2 linked regions of the Danio rerio genome follow. Each later gene encodes a partner of the first gene's protein in a complex. Links are inferred from orthologs where the notes say so. Each region holds a gene or a part of one and is shown in the gene's direction. Other genes may lie near its edges.

Evidence for each region. Proteins that work in one complex are often made in the same cells at the same time.
Region 2: dpm1 (region 1) and dpm3 share a complex: the UniProt entries of both Homo sapiens proteins name them as parts of the dolichol-phosphate mannose (DPM) synthase complex. The link is inferred for Danio rerio from reciprocal best matches to the Homo sapiens genes DPM1 and DPM3.

The regions. Positions count from the first base shown.
Region 1 is NC_133198.1:23,416,645-23,420,854, forward strand, and holds the start of dpm1 (dolichol-phosphate mannosyltransferase subunit 1), read left to right. Parts: upstream 1-1,279; 5' UTR 1,280-1,314; coding exon 1,315-1,445; intron 1,446-1,581; coding exon 1,582-1,681; intron 1,682-1,768; coding exon 1,769-1,802; intron 1,803-2,257; coding exon 2,258-2,334; intron 2,335-2,673; coding exon 2,674-2,699; intron 2,700-2,833; coding exon 2,834-2,929; intron 2,930-4,068; coding exon 4,069-4,137; intron 4,138-4,210. UniProt on the Homo sapiens protein: Transfers mannose from GDP-mannose to dolichol monophosphate to form dolichol phosphate mannose (Dol-P-Man) which is the mannosyl donor in pathways leading to N-glycosylation, glycosyl phosphatidylinositol membrane anchoring, and O-mannosylation of proteins; catalytic subunit of the dolichol-phosphate mannose (DPM) synthase complex.
Region 2 is NC_133194.1:9,591,977-9,596,283, reverse strand, and holds dpm3 (dolichol-phosphate mannosyltransferase subunit 3), read left to right. Parts: upstream 1-1,490; 5' UTR 1,491-1,548; intron 1,549-2,952; 5' UTR 2,953-2,995; coding exon 2,996-3,274; 3' UTR 3,275-3,999; downstream 4,000-4,307. UniProt on the Homo sapiens protein: Stabilizer subunit of the dolichol-phosphate mannose (DPM) synthase complex; tethers catalytic subunit DPM1 to the endoplasmic reticulum.

The DNA.
Region 1 (4,210 bases):
AATTCTAATGGGTTGTGTTGTAAATGTGGACACTAGTCATCATTTACTCTTCCTCTGCTGTGATATTCTTTTATCTGTTAAACACAAAATAAAGTATCTTAAAGAATATTGGAATCCAGTAACTTCTGACTTAAATAGTTTTTTCACACTGTGGATTTCCTGGTTTGAAACCATTAAAAAAAAAGTGAGTAAATATTCTGTTGTGTGTTTGTGTGTGAAAACTCTTTCAACTAACTAGAAATGTAACATTTGTAGGCAAACTTCATGGTGTTTTGAGAAAGCCCAGTCTGAAAGTTTGGAGTAGTTTCGAAGTTTAAATAACTGAAGTAGTTTTTAAGAAGTTTGACAGTTGGCATAGTTAGATAACTACATGTTAGCATGTTTCTATCAATGCTAAGGTGTTACTAGGTGTTTGCTAGGGTTTTTAGGTGGTTGTTAGGGTGTTCTAAGTGGTTGCTAGGGTATTGCTAGATAGTTGCAACAATGTTCCGAGTGACTGCTGGCAGTTGCTAAAGTTACGCTAGGGTGTTCTGTTATAGTTAAGGCGTTGCTAGGCAGTTGTTCTGAGTGGTTACTAAGGCATTGCTAACATAAATTAGCATGGTTCTAGTATGAATTACCATGTTGCTGGCATGTTTCTAGTAACTAGCATGTTGTTTTGCAATGTTGCTAGCATATATTTTTCTAGTATAAGCTAGCGTGATTCTGGTATGAATTATGTTGCAAATGTTTATAATATAAGGATTAGTATGATTCTAGTAAGAATTGTATGTCGTTAGTATGTTTATAGATTAGTATGTTTCTAGTATGGATTAGTATGTTTTTAAGATTAGTATATATTTAGTACAGATTGCTATGTCGAAATATGTTTCTAGTATAGATTATGTTTCTAGTATGAATTGTCGTTAGTATGTTTCTAGTATATTGCTAGCATACATTGGTTTATTCTCATTATGTCTAATGTAAAGTCAATGGCAGATTTTTACAAAATAAGGCAATGGGACAGTTGCTACCGTACGGCTATAAGATGAAAAGGTGATCAGTGATTGTCAGATTGGTAGTCTGAGTTGAGCCTGTATGACAGTCTGGTGCAAAGTTACAAACTGGTCACAAACTTTGGTCCAATATTAAGTCAATGGGACTTTTTCCGTGTCAGATTTTGGAAAATCCTCTATGTAGTATAACAGTATGTTGGCTTTCTCAACTTCCATCATAAATATTCTGCGATCTGCTCCGGAACCAAAGGATGGAGCTCCTGATTTCCACGGACAGCAAATCTGATGTAAACATCCGGTGTTTACTATAGACGCCAACATGGCGAGCCGCAGAAGTAATGCGAAGAGTCGGGACAAACCTGACAAATATTCTGTCCTTCTGCCGACTTACAATGAGCGAGAAAACCTCCCGTTGATCGTCTGGTTGCTGGTGAAGTATTTCGGCGAAAGGTAATTGCGAAACCTGAATAAAACCAGCTGTCAGCTTGTAGAAGTCCTAATGATGAGCTGTCAGTGACGTCACGCTAGAAGAGGAACTGTAATTTTTTTTATCGGTTTTAAGTGCTCATTTATTTCATTAATGCAGTGGCTACAACTATGAGATCATAGTCATCGATGATGGCAGTCCAGACGGAACACTGCAGATCGCCGAGCAGCTGCAGAAGATTTACGGCGCGGATAAAATTGTGAGTTATGCATTATTATACACACCACATGATTGATATCTCGTCGGATAAGTAATTAAATAAAGCTGGTATTTTTATTCTTTTCAGCTCCTGAGACCGCGAGCAGAAAAGCTGGGATTAGGTAAACTGGCTCATTATGCTAAATAATCATTTTATTAATGCTTCTTAAATAAATAGTTAATCCTTAGGTCATCCAAGTTGTAACAAAAACAGGAGTGAGCAACACCGACATTTTAAAAGTGCCCAAAAAAACATATACAGGAAAAACAAAATCTGAATATCTGTGTCTCCTGAATCTTCAGAAGTGAAACAATTGCAAGAAACTGAACATTATTAAGTTTTTAATATTGCCTGTATGACAACATTATGAATTGGCAACATTATTAATTATGAAGGTCTTAAAATGTATTTAATGTTTTGCTGAATATGAAAAGTGACCCAAATTGTCTTATGGTGTGTAAAAAATGAATAGTAACTGGTTATTTTTCAGCTAAAATATGTGTGCTGTAGCAGTATTGACGTTAATTAATTATTTTATTATTAATTAATTAGTAATTGACGTTTATGTCATTTCAGGTACTGCCTACATCCACGGCATTAAACATGCAACAGGAAACTTCGTTATCATAATGGATGCAGATCTGTCACATCATGTAAGCATTCATCAATTAGTTGCATACTGTGTGTTTTGTACCTTTTTGAGTAAATTGCATGCAGGGTTTACATGGCCATGAAAAAATGGACATATTTAGAAAAGCCATTGAAATGAATGTTGCTGAATGTCTTATGATGAACATGTGCCTTTAATATATTTAATGTTTTTACTTGTGGCAAAAGGGTTTCAATAGAATTAAAGTGATTCATAGTTATAACGACTTATAATGAGTTAGAATTAGGAGCCATCTCATGGGAATGATTTGTGTGTGTTTCTGCTTGTATCAAGTGAAGCCTTTAGGAGCATTCATGTATGTGTTTTTTCTTCTCCTTCACAGCCAAAGTTTATCCCACAGTTCATTGAGTAAGTGATTTCTAATTCATTTATCCTTGCTTCTGCTTTTAAAGAACTGCTCTTTATTCTGTGTAATGTAGTTTTGCAGTAATAGCATTATTACAAGCCTATGAGTAACTTCCACAAATTTGATATTTGTTCAGAAAACAGAAAGAAGGTGGATATGACCTGGTGTCTGGCACAAGGTACAGAGGAGATGGTGGTGTGTATGGATGGGATCTGCGGCGAAAACTCATCAGGTATAGGACTGGCAACTTTAGCTGAATGAGCAACTCCAATGAATAATATTAATAATAGGCAAATAAGATGTATTTTGTCATCTTTAGATCTATGTTATGGCTGCTTGATTATGTAAAAGAAATCGTTATCATGATTTCTTTGGTCCAAATTGTCATTGAAATGATTTTTTATTTAGATATATATATATATATATATATATTTTTTTTTTTTTTTCTTTTTATGTTTTATTATTGGAGATCATTTTACACATCATGAAATTTCACAATTCACAAGTAGATATGGTGCAATAATAATTTTCTCAATAATTTTAATATTATAATCATTGGAAGCCAAAATCAAAATTTATTTCGATTAATTGGGTAGCTGTTGTCCAGGGGTGCCCAATCCTATTCTTGGAGATCTGCCTTTCTGGAGAGTTCAGTGCCAACCCTGATCAAAATCAACTAAACCGACTAAGTAGGATCTGAAGAAGCACTTGGTAGTTAAAGAAGGTGTGTTTAATCAAGATTGCAGCAGAACTCTGCAGGAAGGTAGATCTCCAGGAACAGGATTGGGAAACTCTACCCTAGTCTGTGGCCCAATTTCTGTAAACTAGATAAAGGTACATACAAGTATAAATGCACAAGTGTTGGTTTAAAAAATAAGGACAAACACAATTTGAGCTTGTACACTTTCAACTTTTTTTTATTTATTATTGTGGTCAAACGCATTAAAGCAGCCATTAACACAGCTGTTATAGGGTATGCGGACAGAAAGCGCAATAAAACAAGTCATTCATGCTTCTCTCCGCTGTGTCAAAACATCAAAATACAATAAAAAATCTAGTTTTCACATTCTTTTCATTTTCTTGCTCTTCCACCTGCACAAAAGCTGTAGAACATTGGTTAGTTCATTCAGAAGTACTTGCAATAGTGATGTAGAAAGTGTCTGTAAGGAAAGGTCGTAGTGAAATTCACTTACAGCACATGTGGTCACGCAAGCGATGCATCCAAATACTTGTAAATGTCAGTTTGATATGGCAATGTCAACCGACCACTCAGAATAAATAAAAACAGGGCTTAGATTATTCCATGGCACATATACTCTCACATTTTGTGGTACTATATTACTTGGTTGATATAACTTTTTTTTGTTTTAGTCGAGGGGCAAACTTTGTAACACAAGTTCTGCTCAGACCAGGAGCGTCTGATCTTACTGGGAGTTTTAGGTGAGGCATGTTTATAAAGAAATCAGTCTTATTACTTCTCATAAACTGTATTGTCATTATAAATAACGTGTTC
Region 2 (4,307 bases), on another chromosome or scaffold:
TCAACATGTGCCAGCTCCAAATCATTCTATTTCCCTTTTGACCTTCATGTTCTGGTCTCGTTCTTTAAGTTGTGGGTGTTGTTCTGCTCCATCACCCCCTCTATCTCAGTGCAGCCTGTTCTGTTGTGTCTGCCAACTGCTCTCTGCTGGATCACAGGTTTCCTGAGCTGGAGAGCAGGGACTGGCAGTCTCAAACACTGTGAACGGCCAACTTGCTTTTTTCCCACTGCGCTTCGTGTATGTTCTGTTCACTGAACGCACACTCCTACGCAAACACCCCGGCAGAAGAAAATCACACTGATTATGAAGAGAATTACAGCAATCACAGATAGATAGATAGATAGATAGATAGATAGATAGATAGATAGATAGATAGATAGATAGATAGATAGATAGTCCCACACACATGCCACACTTGCTACACTTCTCTTTTACAGCCGTTCTCTGTACTGAAAGAGGCAGTCGCTGACAAGTGTAAACACCACTAAGAATAACCTCACAGTGATCTCAGCGCTGTCTGAGTGATGTTTATACCCTCTCGGCGGGTGAGGAGGTGTGATGGGTCACGGACGTGCTCAATGGGCGGATGTTCGCCCGCGGCATCCAAAACACAGCACTGTCCACCACTGCCAGCAGGACAGAGACAGAGAAAACAGCTTCAGACTGATGGAGCGCGGGCGTTTCATTTCCTGCCAGCATCACAGATAAAAAAACCTAAATCTCTCAATTGAGGAAAAGGTTCAGTGGATCTTATATATTTTAACTCAATTTAAAAAGCGGAATCAGATCAATTAATTAAATGTACTGTAGGTTAATTTCAGATTCGAATATACAAAATTATTACTGCATTTGTATGTAGGCCTACATTTACAAAAAAAAATCATTGCTGTTCAATCCTACTTTATTTTTTCTCATACACTCTAAAAACGTTGAGTTATTTATTTTAACCCACTGGTCGAGTTAAACATTTATGGTTCATTGCTGGGTTACTTTTAACCTTTATTAAGTTATTTATTTAATAGCTCAACCAGTTATGTTAAATATTTGGTGCTCTGGCTTTGTTGGGTTATTGATTTAATAACTCAACAGTTGGGTGAAAAAAATTGAATTTCAACAGTCAACTGATTTAACTGACACAGTTATGCCTATGTAATGCTGTTTTTGCGCTATAAACTTAAGCTTTAACACAATAATATTGCAGATACAGTATATACTAATATTAGACTAAAGCCTACATTTAAGATAATGGAGTAAAAAGAAACGAAATGCCCATTTCCCCTTCTCTTTCAGCAGGGTTTAGGAGATCAGTATTTCATAAAGGTTTGTTTAAGTTTTAAACAAACAGACAAACTTCCAGTTATACTAAAAAAATGCTGTTTTGGTCCTTAGATATTTAATTATCTCTCGTTTCTATAAACATTTGAAAGCACAGACCGTTTTAAAAACAACCGTGAAGACGTGCACTACATTTCCCATAATACTATTCGCCATTTACGTCATCAACCTGCGTCAATAATCCGAAAACAGTGAGCTGGCATTGAATAGTAGGTAAGAGAGAGAGTTTATTAGTAACGTTACATTATAAGTCCAGTTTCATTTATTAACATAAATTTTTAGTCGCTAATTATTGACGCCAAGTTAACAGATTTCCTCCGTTTAGCGCTGACTGTCAGATTTCATTGTAACCACCTGTAATCATTAGCAATCGTGCTAGCTTTAATACGAGTGAGGATTAAAGCGAATTTAAAAGCAGTATATGCATTTATTCTAATTTTTAGTCACATATGATGTTTCTTGATCTTCTGATTTCGTCTGTATCAAACACTGGTCAAAAAAACGAAGCTTTGAGGCTTTTAATCTAATGTTCTGCATTGTTTATTAGAAATATTCTTATTTTTTAAGTGCACTATACTCATGTTTTAACTAAATATTTATATGGAACGCACAAAAGCCATACAGTGTCATTTAAATACAATTAAGTGAAATATAACAGCCTAACCTTATTGAGGTAAAGTTTTTATATATTCGCTCAATCAGACTTCATGCTTAATAATATTACTTCAAAATAGTATTCTTTGCCAATTCAAATGGTGTAATCATATTAGCAGCCAATAACCATCAAAGCAAAACAATTTTCACAGTCAATTAAATAGAGCTGATGTTGTTTTGAAGTCATACTTGCATAAGATTTCTGACCAAACAGGTTGCGAATTACATGGGGAGTTTGGGAAGTATTAACCCTCTAATTAAGGCTGGATCCCTCTTGAAGGACGTCCAAACAAGATGTATTGATGGGTCAGCGTTTTAAAACTGAAAGTTCACTCTGATCTGTATTTTAAGTAATAATGTTAATAATTAAAATAGTAGACATCCATATGACCACCCCTATAAAGGTTCATACCATTGTGAATGCATAATTGTGCCCGTCAGTCTACGCGAGAAAAAAAGTCATTCAACAGTATGAAACTGGCAGATTCAGAGCACCGATAGACACCGTAAGAATTAGCAAGGCTGTTTTCTTATAAAATAGGGGTTTGTTTCTACATGTAGCCTAAAAGCAAACTCAAATTAGATGCATAGTTTGTAAAGTTTGACCTAAGATAAGTTGAAATGGCTAGCCTGTCAGAATACACTAAACAGCCTTTCCAATAAAACACTGAAAACTGAAATACACTTATTTATAATTCAATATAATATATACATTTTTGAATAAATTAGGTGTAATTTAAATAAATACGTGAATTTGATTCACTGAAGCATGTATTACACAAACATTACTGATAAAGTCAATGTATAATTCGCACACTAAGACTAAATATTTAAAGTAGCGTGGTAAACAATATAATTACCATTTCACTGTTAAAAAAATAAATAAATAAATTAACAAGTGTGCGAATACTAAACCAACTTCACCTCATTTCTAACATTATATTCTCCTATTTATCCTCAAAGGTGGATTATCTGTGTCTTCAATCATCTCGCAATCCCCCAAACCATGACCAAGCTTCTGCAGTGGCTTCTTGCGGTGTCTCTGATTGGCATTGCATGGGGACTCGTTACCTTCGACCTCCTGGATTTGCATTTGCTGCCCCAGTATAAAGAGCTTGCATGGCCGATGCCCGTGTACCTGCTGGTGGTGTTTGGGTGTTATTCTCTGGCCACTGTCGGCTACCGTGTGGCTACATTTAATGACTGTGAGGATGCGGCCAAAGAGCTGCAAGCGCAAATAAAAGAAGCCAAAGAGGACTTGAGGAAGAAAGGACTGAAGATGTGAAACTAGTTTGTGATTATCAATATTCTTTATTTCTCTGTGCACAACATTTCCTCCACGGTGACTGCAGTCTGGTTCTATGGATGTTTGCACTGTCATATGGACTAAAATGAAAACAGGTCAGCTTAGTTCATGTTTATTTCAACATGGTGTAAACTCCTGCACACCTGTGAATCTATTTTCAGCTCCAGGACAGCTTTATTTAAAACATTACTGAAACATTGTGGACATATTGTCAGTGCAGAGAAGTGCTATTTTTGTACAGTCCCAAGTCCAGAGTGTGTGTATTTGCATTGGCCGAGGAATGAATATGGCTCTTTCTGTTTTTAGTGAAGTCAGAATTCGGTTTCAGATTTACACATGAACTGTGCTTGTGAAAGAAATGTGTCGGTCAATTAAAAAAAAAAAAAAAAAAAAAAAGATTTACAAATGTAAAACATTTGTGTTGAATTCCATTACGGTACTTATTAAATAACATTTTAAGGGTCAGAATGTTTAATTTGAACATTATGTGGTATTTGATTGCCTGAATAGATAAAAACTACTTTATAAGGTAATTTTCCATTGCGTTTTCTCCAGGACATTCCACATAATAAAACTGATGCTTGATGCAAAATGTGTAAATCACATGTCAATCAAAACACAGACCGATTCATTTTCAACTGCAATGTAAATGTAACTTTTTGAAGCTGTTAATAAAACAAAGATGTATGCTTTAAAAAAAAAAAGCTTCAGTCTTACTGGTTCAACGCTTCACACCAGGAATAACTACAAAGAGATAAAAAAAAAAAAGTATCCTCAGCTAAAATAATTGCATTATTACCAGACCCACTTTGGGAATTTTTTTTTTTTAAGTTTATGAACAAAATCACTGATAGCCAGTGGTGGATAAGAGTACAGAAAAGTCATACCTAAGTACCATTACTTGCCTAAAAATGTAGTGCAGGTAGAATAAAAGAATCTGATGTAAATATTACTCAAAGTATGAGTAAAAAGTAGAGCTTTCAAAAGTACTCAGAAGTATTACACTAAAAAG